Elephas maximus indicus: one gene and its partner. The protein of the gene in region 1 purifies or fractionates together with the protein of each later gene. This does not show direct contact. Links are inferred from orthologs where the notes say so. Each region holds a gene or a part of one and is shown on either strand. Other genes may lie near its edges.

What was found.
Region 2: the proteins of MTCL1 (region 1) and MARK2 purify together in Homo sapiens (affinity purification with mass spectrometry; 5 studies listed by BioGRID and IntAct, with this or other methods). This does not show direct contact. The link is inferred for Elephas maximus indicus from reciprocal best matches to the Homo sapiens genes MTCL1 and MARK2.

What each region holds. Positions count from the first base shown.
Region 1 is NC_064829.1:14,791,869-14,799,664, reverse strand, and holds the start of MTCL1 (microtubule cross-linking factor 1), read left to right. Parts: upstream 1-4,781; 5' UTR 4,782-5,146; coding exon 5,147-6,223; intron 6,224-7,796. UniProt on the Homo sapiens protein: Microtubule-associated factor involved in the late phase of epithelial polarization and microtubule dynamics regulation.
Region 2 is NC_064825.1:127,035,884-127,043,815, reverse strand, and holds the start of MARK2 (serine/threonine-protein kinase MARK2), read right to left. Parts: upstream 3,045-7,932; 5' UTR 2,491-3,044; coding exon 2,437-2,490; intron 2,419-2,436; exon of another isoform or gene 1-2,418. UniProt on the Homo sapiens protein: Serine/threonine-protein kinase. Involved in cell polarity and microtubule dynamics regulation. Phosphorylates CRTC2/TORC2, DCX, HDAC7, KIF13B, MAP2, MAP4 and RAB11FIP2. Phosphorylates the microtubule-associated protein MAPT/TAU.

The DNA of each region.
Region 1 (7,796 bases):
AAACAGGAACGTGCCTAGGTTTGGACAAGGCTTCGAGGGCACAGAACTTCTACATATAATTCTATTTGTGTGTGTACAGCACTAAGTGAAGTGTAAAACACAAAAACAAAAAACTAAACCTGTTGCCTTTGAGTCAATTCCTACTCATAGTGTCACTATAGTGAAGTGTAGTCGTGAGTAAATCAGTTTTTTTCCCCCCTCTATGAGCCAAAGTATTTAACTGTGTTTTATTGACTATGCAAAGGCATTCAGTTGTGTGGGTCATAACAAATTAACAGATAACATTGCGAAGAAGGGGAATTGCAGAACACTTACTTGTGCTCGTGAAGGACCTAAACATAGACCAAGAGACAGTCATTCGAACGGAACAAGGGGATACTGTGTGTTTTAAAGTCAAGAAAGTTGTGGGTCGGGGTTGTATCCTTTTACCATACTTATTCAATCTGTATGCTGAGCAAACAATCTGAGAAACTGAACTATATGAAGAAGAATGAGGCATCAGGATTGGAGGAAGACTCATTTAACAACCTGCGATATGCAGATGACACAACCTTGTTTGCTGAAAGAGGACCTGAAGCACTTACTGATGAAGATCAAAGACTATAGCCTTCAGTATGGATTACACCTCAACATAAAGAAAACAAAAATCCTCACAACTGGACCAATAAGCAACATCATGATAAATGGAGAAAATATTGAAGCTGTCAAGGATTTCATTTTACATGGATTCATACTCAATACCAATGGAGGCAGCAATCAAGAAGTCAAAGTATTACATTGGGCAAATCTGCTGCAAAACACCTTTTTCAAGTGTTGAAAAGCAAAGATGTCACTTTGAGGATGAAAGTGCACCTGACCAAGCCATGGTATTTTCAGTTGCCTCATATGCATGCAAAAGCTGGGCAATAAATAAGGAAGACTGAAGAAGAATTGATGTATTTGAATTATGGTGTTGGTGAAGAATACTGAATACACCATGGACTGCCATAAGAGTGAACAAATCTGTCTTGGAAGAACTACAGCCAGAATGCTCCTTAGAAGCAAGGATGGCAAGACTGCGTCTTACTTACTTTGGACATGTTGTCAGGAGGGATTGATCCCTAGAGAAGGTCATTATGCTTGGTAAAGTACAGGGTCAGCGAAAAAGAGGAAGACCCTCAATGAGATGGACTGGCACAGTGGCTGCAACAATGGGCCAAGCATAACAAGGATTGTGAGGATGGCGCAGGACTGGGCAGTGTTTCGTTCTGTTGCTATCTATGAGTTGGAATCAACTTGACAGTATGTAACGACAACATGAGTCAAAGCAAAAAAATAATTTCATCTCTTTTTATATCTGCGTCATATACAGTCTAGATTTCTAACTCACTCAGAGCTTGGTTTGCCCATATCTGAGAGTATTGAAGATTATTCCATTGGTACTAAATAATAAAGATGGTGATAATGATGGTATTGATAAGAACACCTTACCCAAGGCCACATAGACACCAAGTGAGTTTGGCAGGATTTGAACACAGATTTACCTGTAGTGCCAAAGCCTCTGCTATCGTCACACTGTCACATGGCTCTTTGACCAAGAAATAATGAGGAGAACATGACCTATCACACCAACACTGGCTGTGGTTCATAGGCCTAGACTTAAAAAAAAAAGCATCTGCAAAAGCATGAGTAAATCACGGCCCTGGAGGGATTTACAATACGGGCTTTAATGCAGGGAATCTGTGACAGAGGAATCAAGAGCCAAATGGGACAGTGAGAGAACCAGAGATCTGCAACTCCATGAAGCCACTACACAGTGAAGTCATCAGAGAGACCAGGTCACCCAGTGAAAACTGGAGCCACAGGGGAAACCTAGTTCTGGCTGGGGAAGTGCCCCTGCGGCAGAGAGAGGCCAGAAATGCCTTGGTTCTCCCTTCCTGTCTCCCCCAATCTCCTGCCAGTACTTCCCATTGGCCATACCTAATCCACACATCCAGGAGCCTGGAAAACCTTTATGGGTTCTACGCCTCCTAATACAGAGCGGGGTCAAGTGGGGCAAGGACTGGGTCTGAGGACATAGACCAAAACTGGCACAGCCTGGATTTTGTTGTTGGCTCCTTTAAATAGTAAGCTCCCCTTCCCAACCCCTGCCAAGTATTTTTAAAGGAATTTGTATCAAACCCTTCTTTTTTTTTTTTTAAATCACATAGGACTTTTCTAAAAAAGATCTACTATGAAAACAAGTCCCTGGGTGGTGCAAACGGTTAAATGCTCAACTACTAGCCAAAAGGCTGGCAGTTTGAACACACCCAGAGGTGCCTCGGAAGACAGACCTGGCGATCTGCTTCTGAAAGGTCAGACTTGAAAACCTTATGGAGCAGTTCTACTCTGCACGCATGGTGTGGCCTTGAGTTGGAACTGACTCGTGGCAAACAACAACTATATAAACAGATATCTGTTCATACCTGTAAGTCACTGAATACCGGAAAACAAAGAAACCCTTATTGAACGTCTCTTTGCTAATAGCTAGTAGAAACATTTGCCAGGCTAACAATAAGGAATATGAATTTTGTTTGACTTTTATTATGTGGGAGCTACAATTGGTGTATGGTCATTTGGCTAATGGTTTTCAATTTCTTTGGAAGACTAAATTACTGAAATTTTTTGGGTCTTCTGCATGTTTCTGCATGGTCTGAGCAGCCGGCAAGCTTGTAGTAAGAGTCCTGGACATAATTCTTCAGAAATGTGAAGGTGTTGCAAACTTCTGGATCTCTGAAGGAAGTTCTTGGATAAAGTCCAGTTAGCTAACTCTGGAGACTCACAGCTGCTACTCGTGAACTGATGGACAGTCATACCAAAGGGGGCATTAACGTGCTCTCCAGAGAGAGATGACCAGGCAAGGCATGGGTGGGGTACCTTTCAAACAAATCTGCTCTGTTGCTGACAAGACAGTCAACTGGTTTTTCCTTTCCTCCAAATAGCTTGTGAGCTATAAAAATAGCTGAGGTCTTATTAGATATTGCATTAAAAGAGATTCTGGGCAGATTATATTTGTGTGCTGCCTCACTGTCAGAGGAATTCCAGAAAAACAACTTACAAATGGTGAAGCGGGAGAGCTGTGAGGTTCCAGCTCCAGTAGCACTGAGCAGCAGGACAGCACCAGAGCCTCCTCAGGTAGCCAAGAGGAGCAGGCAGGATGTCTTCTGAGAGCACATCTCCCCCCACTGACAGGATTAAAAAAAAAAAAAAAAAGTTTCAGATCACCTGCATCTTTTGAAGGAGGTGGGTTGGTAGGCTAATTATGTGGTTAAGATCACAGACTTTGGAATATATTTTTCCTTTTAATTTCACAGAACTGTTCCCTCTCTTCTTTCCTTATCCTGTTACCTGAATAAGCCGGTTATCACCCTTCACCTGTCCCACTGTCACAGCCACCGAGGGCTCCCCCAGCCTCTAGGACAGTGTCCACATTCCCGGGCGGGACATTTCACTTGCCTACCTTCCAGCCTCTGTCTAAAGCCTACCTGCCTGCCGGCCACCAGCTCTCCCCATGCTTCTGTTCTGTTCTGGGGCTCACCCACAAGACCAACTTCAAGGCATAATCCAAACACCATGCCCGGGTGAGGTCTTTGTCCGCGGTGTGTCCTGGCTGGGTTCATTGCCCATCCTGGACTTTTGTACCTATTGTCTGCTCTCTGTCTCCCCCAAAGCCACTCACGAGGACAGGCTGTGTCTTATGCCTTTTGTTATTGCCCAACGTCCATCGCCTAGGTCAGAATATCTGGAAAGTATTTTACAGTTTGAAAAGTGTTTTTGCATATTTGCTCAATGAACCGTCACAATGCTTAGGCGGCAATATTTTCTCATTATACAAGCGAGGGAACCGAGGCTCAGAAAGATCAGGTGACTCGAGCATGTTAAACTGTCATGTTCTGCTTTCCTGGGTCCCCGAGGGGCCAGAGAGAAAGCATGGGATTGAGAACTGTACAGGGCTGGGTTTGAATCCGACTCAGCCACTACCTGGCTAAGGAGCCTCAGGGAAGCACTTCACTCCCCTGCGCTCACGTCCGAGGAAAATAATTCCAACTCGGGATTGTTCTGCGGATTTTTTTTTTATGCCTATGAAATGTCTAACAGCGCTTGGCGAGTAGCGGGAACTGTAAATGTGAGTTCCCTTTCTGACCCCAAGCTTGGCGAGCTACTTCTCCTATTTCTACAACAGCTCCTCCTTCTCTGAGCTTCCGAGGGCACTGGCGGGTGCCAACTGGGGAGCGCCGTGTCGGTGTGACGCGATAGCTGCATCGCGTACCCGGCATCCTTAAAGGAACTTGGAGATAACACAGGCATAGCTTGGAAAGGGCAGTGGGCAGAGCGCCGAGGGACCCTGGAAGGCAGGGGTGGAATGGAGGGGCCTGTGGGGGTGTCGGTCCACAAAGGGAAAGCGGGTGTACCGCCCTCGCCCCACCGAGAGGACAACGTTGCTCTCCCACCTCAGTCTCCCCCGCGTGCCCAGTGCTCGCTCTCCACCTCCCGCTCCCTTCCCAGCTCCGACACGGTCTCTAGGGCCTGGAGAAGCCGGGCGAATCGCAGCTCGGGGAGGGGAGGGACAGACCCCGCCCCGCCCCTCTGCCTGCCCCCCGCCAGGGACGGACCCCGCCCTTCTGTCTGCCCCTCCTCCCCCGCCCCGTGCGGAGCCGGCCGGCGCTGGTGGTGGCGGGACATGCGCAGAGCGCCGGGCGCAGGCGGCGGTGGGCCGGGCGCGCGCTCGTACTTTCTCTCCTGCGGGAGCGGCGGGCGGGCGGGCGGCGCTGCGGGGGGCGCGGCCGGCCGGCGTGGGAGCGGCGCGAGGCGCCCGTCAGCCCCAGCTCATGGACGCGGACCGTGTGGCTGGGACCGCCGTGGCGGCGGGACCCTCGAGTCCGCAGCGCCGCTTCTAGGGGATGCGAGCGGCAGAACTTGAGCTGCGGTGACCCGAGCCGGGGGAGAGCGAGGCAGGCGGCGGCGGCGGCGGCGAGTCCCCAGGGACCCTCGGGCCGCGGGTGCGGGTGAGGGCAGCGGCGGCGCGGGGGCTGGGGGCAGAAGTGATGCGAGCGCGCCCGGGGAAACTGCCCGCGGCCACCAGGAGCATCTGCCGCCGGCGCCACTGCGCGCGGCCCGGGACCCGGCCATGGAGGCGCTGAACGGCCCCGCGGGCGGCGGCTCCCCGGACGCGAAGCCGCAGCCGCCTGGCCAGCACCACCGCCACCACCACCTCCACCCGCTGGCCGAGAGGAAGCGGCTGCACCGCGCACCCTCGCCCGCCAGACCCTTCCTCAAGGACCTGCTTGTGCGGCCAGCGGCGCACGGGCCGGCTGCCCCCTCCTCGGCTCGGGCCCCGCCGCCCGCCGCCCCGCGCTCGCCCAGCCTTGCGGGCAAGACGCCGTACTCGCCCGTGTCCCTGGCTGCGCCGGGCCGCCTTTCTCGGCGCGGCGGCGGCGCCCCCGGGGCGAAAGATAAGCCCCCGGCGGGCGCCGGGGCCAGGGCGGCGGGCGGCGCCAAGGCCGCCCCAGGCCCCAGGAGGGCGGCGCGCGCGGCGCCCGCCGAGCTGCTGCCCCGGTCTGGGAAGCCGCCACCGCTCGGAACCGAGCCGGCGCTGGCAGCTGCCAAGAACCGCAAGGCCCGGCGCGGCTCTGGGCCCCCCGGCGCGCCTCCGGCTCGGGCCGCCGAGCCCCCGTCGTCCGCCCGGCTCCCTGCCGTGACCCTCCCAGTGACCTCGGCGGCCGCCGCTGGCGCGCGCATCAGCTCCACGGATAGCAGCTCCGACCTCTCCGACTGCCCATCCGAGCCCCTGTCGGACGAACAGCGCCCGCTCCCCGCCGCCAGTAGCGACGCCGAATCGGGCACCGGCTCCAGCGACCGGGAGCCCCCGCGAGGAGCCCTCGCGCCGAGCCCCGCAGCCCAGGGCGCACCGCCGGGCAGCCCTGAGTCCCCCGCGCTGCTCGCAGCGTACCCCGGCGCCAGCACTTGTCCTGGGGGCCGGAGCAGCCCGGGCGGGGTCTCTGAGGGGTTCCCTGGGTCCGGCCCGGCAGACGATGCTCGGGGCCGCGCGCCACTAGAGCGAGCGGCCCCCGGGAGGGGGGAAGGAAGCGGTGGGACCCCCAAGGAGCCCAGCCTGGACGAGCAGCCCCGGATGGTGCCAGCGGCGGCGGAGGAGGAGCTGCTGCGGGAGATGGAGGAGCTGCGCTCGGAGAACGACTATCTCAAGGTGAGCGGCGTGTCCCGGGGCCGGATGCCGCAGAGATCCACGAGCACGCCCTCGGGGCTGTACGAGCGCCTTCTCGGTCTCCCTTCCTCCCCGCACATGCTGGGCGCTGGGACCTTGAGCCAGAACTTCGGAAGGCTCAGAACCCCAAGACTTGTGGGGCCCAGCCAGTGTGCGTCTACGCTGCTCTTTCTAGAAGTTTTGCGTATACCGTGGCACCTCTTGACGTTTGGGGGTACATATTGGGTACCTCAGCCGATCTTCCCGTCCCCTGTGTGCCCACCCTCACCTGTGGGAGGGTTCCCCCAGCGAAGGAGCGCGGTCCGGGAAATTGCGTGTTTGCGTCGGTTTCGGCCACCGGTTCTCCTGCCGGCGGAAAAGAGTGAGGTGCCTGCGGGATCTCCTCGGGGCCCCTGTGGCACAGAAAGGACCCCACCGTTTTCGGGGGGTAAACCTTAAGTCCAGGGGTCTCTTGAGTGTTCCGCTGGCGGGTCCTTTGTGAGTGTCCTGAAGCCGGGCATTTCTGTGTTAGGAGAGCCCGATTCCTTCTTACGCAAAGACTTTCGAGGGAATCGCAGCCTCCGCCGCCCTGCCTCTTGAGTCCTCTGGGGCAAGGCCTGTTGATGATGGCCTCCCGGTGTTGTTAGCATTAAGGCACTTAGACCGACTCCATCTTTTCTCAGAGAGGAGGCTGGTACTGCAGAACAGAGGGGCTAGGCGACACTGGCCTGCCAGAGGACCGAGGTGCGGCTGTTAGAGTAGTAAATAACTCGGTGGTACCTGTCAAGATTCTGATAAATATCCGCCCAAACCGAGGGAGTGGCCTTCCTCCCTCGGTGGGTAGTGTGATTTGAGCTGTTTTCTCAGATAGGCCTACCCCATTTAGGGCCAGCCTTTGGCTCCAGCCCTACGGCCTAGGTTTTTCAGGTGAATGGTGGTGGCGTGTGCTGTTCAGACTGGGATGAGAGCGCCTTAGCTGCTGGGTAGTCCTAAACCTTAGCCTTATCAGGAGCTGCTCTAACCAAGTGTTGTGGAAAAGGGAAACAGTGAGGCAGAAAAAGCGAGGTGAGAAGAGAGCAGATGGGCACCTGGGTGCGATGTTCCAAGTTGACACATTGGCTTTTGCCACCTCTTACATAACAGACAGGAGAGTGAAATCCCAGAGTGCTGAAGAGAAAGGGCAGCTGTGTTGTGTGTCACTCTATCAGGAAAACAGCCCTTTGCAAATCCTCAACACAGGAGCGCTCTCTGTAAGCTAACATGAGCTAATCTTGTTCATTTTTGTAGCCCCAGTCTTAGCATAATCCCTGGCCACATGACTGCCGCCAGACCAAAACCCAGTGCCGTGGAGTCGGAATGACTGCTGAGCAACAGACAATTGAGTTTCTTTAGAAAAAAAAAAAAAAAGTTCTCCGTACACTTCTGATGTTAAGGTAGCCAACCCGACATCACTTCAGGGTTCCTCTCTGGATAACTTGCTATTTGCCTAATTTTTTCACTGTTAGATGCTCAGTGAATGAAATGGGCTTCTGCCCTGGTGCCCACCCTGATGTATTTGATATGTCAGTTGATCCTC
Region 2 (7,932 bases), on another chromosome or scaffold:
CCCAACCAAATCCCTTTCTTTTTATTTCATAACATTAAGGCCGAGGAGAGACAGGAAGCCTTCTTACCACAAGACTGAGTTTCCATGACAATTTTAACTAAAATCGCAACAGCACCAAGAGGTTTCTTGCTCTTACCTGGTGGCATGATCTATTCCAGGGGAAGCCAACGCTTCTGGCAGCCCTGGCCTTGTGTCTAGAAGAGCTGCTGCTAATGTTTTTTCTTGTTTTAAAGAATACTGGCAACGACATTTACATTTAGTATGCAGCACAAAGAAACCACATTGCGGCAGTCTGCTACTCTCCTTTGCTGAACACAATGCCCCACAGCCTTGTGGAGAGAGGAGGCACTCCATCTCCACTCCCCACACGCCTGAGGGTGCCAGTCCAGTCAGTCACTTGGCCTCCTCCTACCAACTCATAATCAACAGTCTGGGAAAGTTCTCTGGTTAAGCAGAGACAACCTGCTAAAACAAAGGTTGTGAGAGAGGGCCTAGAGAGAATAGTTCCCAGGAGGCAGAGAGAAACGGCTGGCAGGCAGGGGAAGGTTGAAAAACTGTGAGATCTGAACCATGCCCCTCTGTTTCCAAAGCCCTCAGTCCCATGTTGCCAAACCCAGTGAGGAAATAGAAACCGACCATCCCTCCTTCTCAGCCCCTATTTCACCCCCAAAAGCAACCAATCCATCAGTAATAAAAGCGTCAACCACTGCAGGAAAAAATCCTCTCTGTAACTCCAGAACTCCTCTTGAGTTCTTAACTACCCAGTTGACAAGAGTGAGGGGGTAGGTAACAAAATAGGAAAAGCATGAAAACCATGGAAGATGTTAACAGGCAAGAGAACATAACAGTGGTTCTATCAGGATATGAAAAAAGAAGAGAAGAGGGAACCATTAAGAAGCTGATGAGTGGAAAGGATGCAAAAAGCACTGCAGCCCCCAGGGAGCAGAGCTCCTTTCCCTAGTCAAGTTTTTGGCCTAGTAAAAGTTCTCCACCAAGAAGGGTGTGACAGGCAGGGGACTCTCCACAGAGGAGTCAGCAAGGGCAACCGGAGATGGTGAAAGAAAGGGGAGGGGTGGAAAGTGGACGCCGCTCAGCTCAGAGATGTGATGACACAGAAAAGGCTAAGGCTTGGGTGACAATCTACTGCAGTGATTGCCAGCAGGAGGGGAAGCCTGTGGGGTCCTGAGGCTGAGGGGTCCTTGCATGCTCAAGAAACTAGCATGCAAAGTTCCTGGACTGGGAGTTACAAAGATTAGCCAATAGGAAGGGGATGCAGAGAGCCACATGTGGGTAAAATAAATATCATGTGAAAAAGGCAAGAGACTGACATGGAGATGAAAAGCGATACTGATTAAGAGGCATAATAAGGAAGATGCAGTGAGTAGTGAAACAGGAAAGCCACAAGCAAAGGGTAAGATACTATGAAAAGGGACAGAAACAGGAGGGACGAGACAGGAAGGCATCATGGTTTGCGTTGCTGTTTATGACAACGCAAGGCAAGGCCGGTGATGCAGCGAGGGACGGAAAGGACTGAGCAACAGGTTGTGTTAATACAGTGGGACTGAAATAGCAAGTGCCTTTCCGCCAGTAGGAAGAGCCCCGGGAGAAGGCTGGTAAAACACTGCCAGTGAGGAAGAGGAGGCAGAGGGGCAGAAACGTCAGACCCCAGGGAGGGTTACACGAGGGATCCAAAGACTCACAAGAGAGTGATAACTGGAACGCCGATGACAACCTGTGGGAAATCTATGCGCATGGCAGCCGTATGGGAAACACGGAAGCAACAAATGCCAGCGCCAGGAAACAGAGCGCTCCAGGAGAAAAGAAGGGAAAGTGATGAGCAAAGAGTAGGCGAACGACTTGGAAAGGTGATGAGGGTGGAGCTGGTGGGTTGCAAGCAAGAGGGAGTGCACAGTTTGGAGAAGGAAGAAGCAGGGTAGAAAAAGCTGGGGAACTGAAAGGGGATAGGAATCAGAACACACTCCGGGGCAAGGACCCTGAGGGAGAGAACCGGGGACTGGGAGAACCGGTGAGGGCAGAGGGGAAGCCAGACTAGGGAGATGGAAGAAGGGGTGGACAAAGATCTGTGACAAATCGTGGGGTGCTATTCGAGGAGCAGGAGGGTGGCTGCTTTAAGCGTGGGTGGAGAAAGACCAGAAAGGCCCCTGAGAGAAAAAAAGGAAGAGAAAGGGAAGCTGGGGATGTGACACGGAAGAGCGCAGGAGGGCGGTGAGAGGAAAGGGGGGCTGGCAGAAAGACAAGTGTGCAGCCTGCAGTCAGGACGAGGTGGGTCCCAGGACAGGACTCGGAAGGGGGATGTGCGGGGCCGGAAGCCAGATGACAGGGCAGCCGAGCTTGCAGGATGGAAGAGGAGGGAGGAGGCTCCGTAAGGTGCAGGGGCCCAGCCAGAGAATTCGGGGAGCCCTCGGGGCTCCTTACCTGCTCCGTGTCCCTCTCGTTCAGCGTGGGTAGGGGGGTCCGGGCGCTGGACATGGCGCCGGTATCTCAGGGGAGGGAACCGAGAAGCTTGGAGGAAGGGAGGGAAGGAAAGGCGCGGAGCCCGGCCGGGCGGGGCTTCTCACAGCAGGGGCACCCGCCGCATGGGCCCCGGCCGGGGGTGCGGGGAGGCCGGGCAGCCGCTCACGCCAGCCCGGGGATGCGCCGCTCGGGCTAGGCCGCGCCGGCTCCGAGCGGCTCCGGACCGCACCCCCCCGACCCCCGGCTGGGCTGTGCCGCCTTTCGGCCGGGCCGCGCCGCTCCGCCTACTCTCTGCCGCCGCAGCCGGCCGCCTGCCTCGCTCCTCCCCTGCCCTCAGCGGCACTGCTCCGCGCCCGGCACACAGGCTGCCGCCGCCGGACCTGCTGCTCCCAACATGGCCGCCACCACCGCCGGCCCTCGGCTCTTTCCGCCGGCAGCAGCCGGAAACATCCGAAGCGACCAGGAACGGGAGGGGGGCGGGCCTCCTCCTCCCAGCCACGAACTACGGGTGAGTTCCGGAAACACCCGAAGAAGGTAAGCCCCGGGGCGCGCGCGCCTCTTCGACTCCGAAGCCCAGGTTTCGACTCTGTTTGCGGAAATCCACGAAAAAAACTCCAGGCGCTCCAGAGCCATCCAGCCACGCCCACCGGCCTTTCCCCGCCCACTTCAAACCGGCTCTCGGTAGTTTTCGGAAACACCCGAAGCACCTCCGCGTGCTGTGAGTCGGCCACGCCCCCGCCCCGCCCCGTAATCGAGGGCGGTCGTCGCCCATTTCCGGCAACACCCGAGGCGGGGCGAAAGTCCGGTCGTCCCCCGGGGTGGTCAGAGTCTGTCTCTTCGTTTGTTTCCGCCAGTTTTCCGGTATTTTCAAAGCTTGAACATGGAGCGTGGGCAACCGTGCGCGATTATTTGACTAAGTAGAAGAAATAAAGCTGTTAGCCGTTCCTGCGATTGGCCCGTGTGCGTGTCCGTTCGTCCCTCTGTCAGTCAGCTCCTAAGATCCATCTTCGCGTTTATCATCCAACCTATCTATCAACGTGTGTGTCACCTGCCACATGCAGCCTTAGTCTATTACCTGTCTGCCTGCCATCCGCCTGTCTTGGCTTCTATTTATCCATCCATCCACCTAGCCCCACAACTAGTCAGGGATCCTCATGGTCCCGGGCAGACACCAGGTCAGCGTCCTTCGCACCCAGCTGCGGGGGGATCCGGAGGTCCCCCCAGCAGAACACTCAGAAAACAGGAGCCCCAGCCCGAGCTCTGCAGAGTGAAACTGCTGTGTGATCTTGGGAAAATCACGTAACACCTCTGAGCTTGGCCCCACATCCGTAAACTGAGAATCCATGCCTTTGTTCCAGCATTGACATTCTAAATAATATCTTTGAATTCTACTTACCATTTTAAGCGTCACTGCAAGATTGGATAGGAGAGACTTTCTCATTCTAATGCACATTTCAGTTATCCCATCTAAGACAGAGAAAACTCATGGGAAAGAGAAACTGGTTGAAAATGAGAATTCCTCAGGATGGCACAAAGAATGGGCACCAGAAGTTCCTTTCTTTGTCTGGACCTATTTCCCCAACAGTAAAGTGAGGTCATGGGATTCACGAGTTCTGAGGACCCTCCCAGCTTAGGAGAGTCCCTGACTTAACAGGAAGCCCATGTGGGCAACCCGAGCCCACTCCTCACCTCCCCCTGGACCTTTTCACCAAGGAGAGGCTGTAGACAGGTCTGATTTCTCTGGCTCCAAGCTGCACCCACCCATCATACTCCGGACATGTTGGAACTTGTCCATCCTCCTCATGCCCCGGGGCTCAACAGCCGCTTAAGGTGGGCAGGAGCCAGCAGCTTCACAGGAGCCAGAGACCAGACTCAAGCAATACATCCTCAAAGGTACAGAAGCAGAGGAGGCTCCAGCGGTTATGGAGAAGGTGCTGCTTGGGCCTCTGACATTTGACTTTAACTCTCAGGTGGAGCATCTGAGTAGAGCCCTTGGCCACATAAGTTAGAGAAATAGGCAGCCAAACAGATGCAACGGGAGGGGTGTGAAAAATACTTCCTAAGGCAACAGGTACAACCCACAGTCTTAATAATTGCAAGAGACTCTTGGACACCTCTCCACACCCCACCCTACCTCCATTCAGGCACCCAGCCATTGGGGAAGAAGTTGATGATGAAGCACAAAGGGAGGTGAGGAAAAAAGAGGAAGAGGTAAGGAGAGCGTTACCTCCCACTCCCCCTACCCTAATTTCCTCAAAAAATTCATGAGAATAATCTGCCCTCTGGTGGCCAAAGGGAGACAGGGACCACATGGTGATTGCTGTGCCAGATACCACCTCTCAGGCCTGGGGCAGGAAAAGGAAGGGATTGGAGGAGCAAAGGAAATGGGACTCAGGGTCTCTCCCTGGCCCATGCTCATCTAAGTAAATTTTACCTCCTCTATGCTTCTACTCACTCAAGCTGTAACCCCTGCCTCACCTCTGCCCTCTGACTGCCAGCCCTCCCCCTTCCCACCACCCACCCCATCTTTGGCTGAGCTCAGAGCTGCCTGTGGTCTCCCTTGACTCCCAACCTACCACACCAGTCATGCCAAAATAATCTTCCTACAGTCCAGCTCCAGTCCCATCTCTGCCCTGCTAGAAGGTCGTCGCAAGGTCTCCTGTGGTCTAGAGACAAGGCTGGCTTCATGGGCGTGTGACTTATGCAGTTGCACAAAGCCCTGCTCTTAGAAGGGCCCTGTGCTTGGCTTAATGCTTTCATCATCTTGACATTTTAAATAAGGGGGCCCCCTGCGTTTTCGTTTTGCACTGAACCCTACAAATTATGTAGCCAGTCCTGGCTGTAGGATAAAGCCTTTAGCCTGCATTTGAAACTTTGCACACTCTCACCTCAACTTACCTTGCTGATATACTTTCCAGCTAGGGATGATTGCTTGACCCCTCCCCTACTCCTGCCCTGTTCAGGCTGATCCCTTCACCTGGACTGCCTGTCACTGACCCCAGCTCCCAGATGCACTCCAAGATCCAGGTCAAATGACACCTTCTCAAATCCCCGAGGCCACCTAGCCTTGCTTAAAGATTAATTATTGCCACACTTACCCCTCTCTAATTTGCAGATTAATTCATTTACTGAATAAATTTCTATTGACATCTGCTATGTGCAAGGCACGGTTCTAGTATACCAGCTAACAAAACAGAGAAAGCTCTCTGCCCACGGGGAGCTTTACACTGCCCATAGAAGGGAAGACAGGTGATAAACATAATGGAAATGCCATGGCGGGGAAGGGGAGAGAGAGAGCCAGGTAAGGGGGATCAGGAAAGCAGGGGGTGGCAAACAGGCTGCAGTACTAAGGTGGTCAGTGTAGGCTTCACTCAGAAGGTGACATTTAAGCGAAGACTTGAAGGAGGTGAGGGAGTGAGTCTCAAGGAAAAGCATCCCAGGGAGAGAGAACAGTCAGTGGTAAGGCCCTGGGGCAGGAGCTAACCTGGCCTGTTTGAGGAACAAAGATGCCAACAAGACTGGAGGCAGGTGAGCAAGGAGATGAGTAGTAGGAGATGAAGGCAGAGAGGTGATGGGGATCCAGCCCTGGAGGGCCGTTGCTTTGGCTTTCCCTCAGAGGGAGATGGGAGCCTGTCATGAATTGAATTGTGACCTCTAAAAGTATGTGTCAACTTGGTTAGGCCATGATTCCCAGTATTGTGTGATTGTCCTCCATTTTTGTGATTGATGTAATTTTCCTATGTGTTGTAAATCCTAATCTCTGCTGTGGTTAATGAGGTGAGATTGGGTTATGTTAAAGAGGATTAGGGTGGGATGTAACACCCTTACTCAGGTCACATTCCTGATCCAGTGTAATAAAGGAGATTCCCTGGGGTGTGGCCTGCATCAGCTTTTATTTTACAAGAGATGAAAGAAAAGAGAAGTGAGCAGAGAGTTGGGAACCTCATATGATCAAGAAAGAAGCACTGGCAGCATTGTGTGTCCTTCGGACCTGGGGTCCCTGCACTGAGAAGCTCCTCCACCAGGGAAGATTGATGACCAGTACCTTCTTCCAGAACCGCTAAAGAGAAACTTTCTCCTGGAGCTGATGCCCAAATTTGGACTTGTAGCCTACTAGACTGTGAGAGAATGAACTTCTCTTTGTTAAGGCCATCCGCTTGTGGTATTTCTCTTACAGCAGCACTAGATAACTAAGACAGCCGCTGGAGTGCCATGCTCTCACCGATTGCTAGATTGAGAATGAAGGGACGGACAGGGCAAGAACAGAAAACTGGAACCAGGAAGGAGGGTTTTGCAGTAACTCAAGTGAGCAGTGACAGTGGCTTGGACCAGGCAGCAGCAATGAAAGTAATAAGAAGTGGTCAAATTTCGGATCTATTTGGAAGGGGGAGCCAACAGGACTTTGTGATGGGTTGGGTTTGAGATACGTGAGAGAGAGGAGTTGAGGATGATTCCAAGTTTTCCAGCCTGAGCAGCTTTTAGCGGAACAAATACAAAAGTAAAGGCACCTACCACAGGCCCAAGCCATAGGATCAGTCCTCCAGGAACAGCTGCGGTGCCCACAAGAGTTCTGGGATTCTAGCTCTTGCAGGTACAAGGGTCCTTTGGGTAGCTCTCCCCCAGTACCCATAGGTAGGGAGGAAAGAAGCCAAGAGGAGTTAAAGGTGCTGGAGGAGAAGACATCCTTAATTGTCACCTCCGTGATATTGTGGTTCTTCCTCTTCTTTCTCTCCCAACCAGCGGAGCCCGAGAGCACATTGGTTCTGGGCAGGTGCCTGTAGGGAAGAGTGGGGGACAGTCTGGAATTGCCTTCCGATCAAGAGTCAGACGCCTGGAGTGAGGCAAGACCCATGATGCCCTCTGACTCATTAGATACCCTCTCATTGCCAAGCTTTACCCTGTTCTTGACATCCCTGAATTTCCATGTATGAATTTCCATCCATATCACTACTGACATCTACCATATTCCACTGAGTTTATGACATCATCAGTTGTACGATGCATCCAAATTCCAAAGATGTTTGGATGTAAAAATAAATGTCTTAAGAATAGATGAAATAGAATGTTTATTTACTACCCCTCTATCCCCCGCCACCTCCCCGACCATCACTAGGAACTTCCGGTCTTGTTCCCCTTTGTTCATTTTTAACATGTGTTGAGAGCTGTGCATTGTGTGGGCATTTTCACAGTGAATTCTTACACAGTGAGCAGTTAGACACTGTTGTTTCCCCCAGTTTACTGATATGGAAGTCGAAGATCAGAGAAGGTCAGGCCCTGCTAGTGGGGGTGGGAACAGGGTGGGAGACATCAATCTCTGGGCTGGAGACATCAATGTGGGAGTGTGGCACCGAGATGGCATTTAAAGCCATGGGACGGGATGAGATTACCCAGGGAATGAGTGCAGAAAGAAAAGGGGACCGAGGGTATAGTCCTGGAACACTCCAACATTAAATAAAT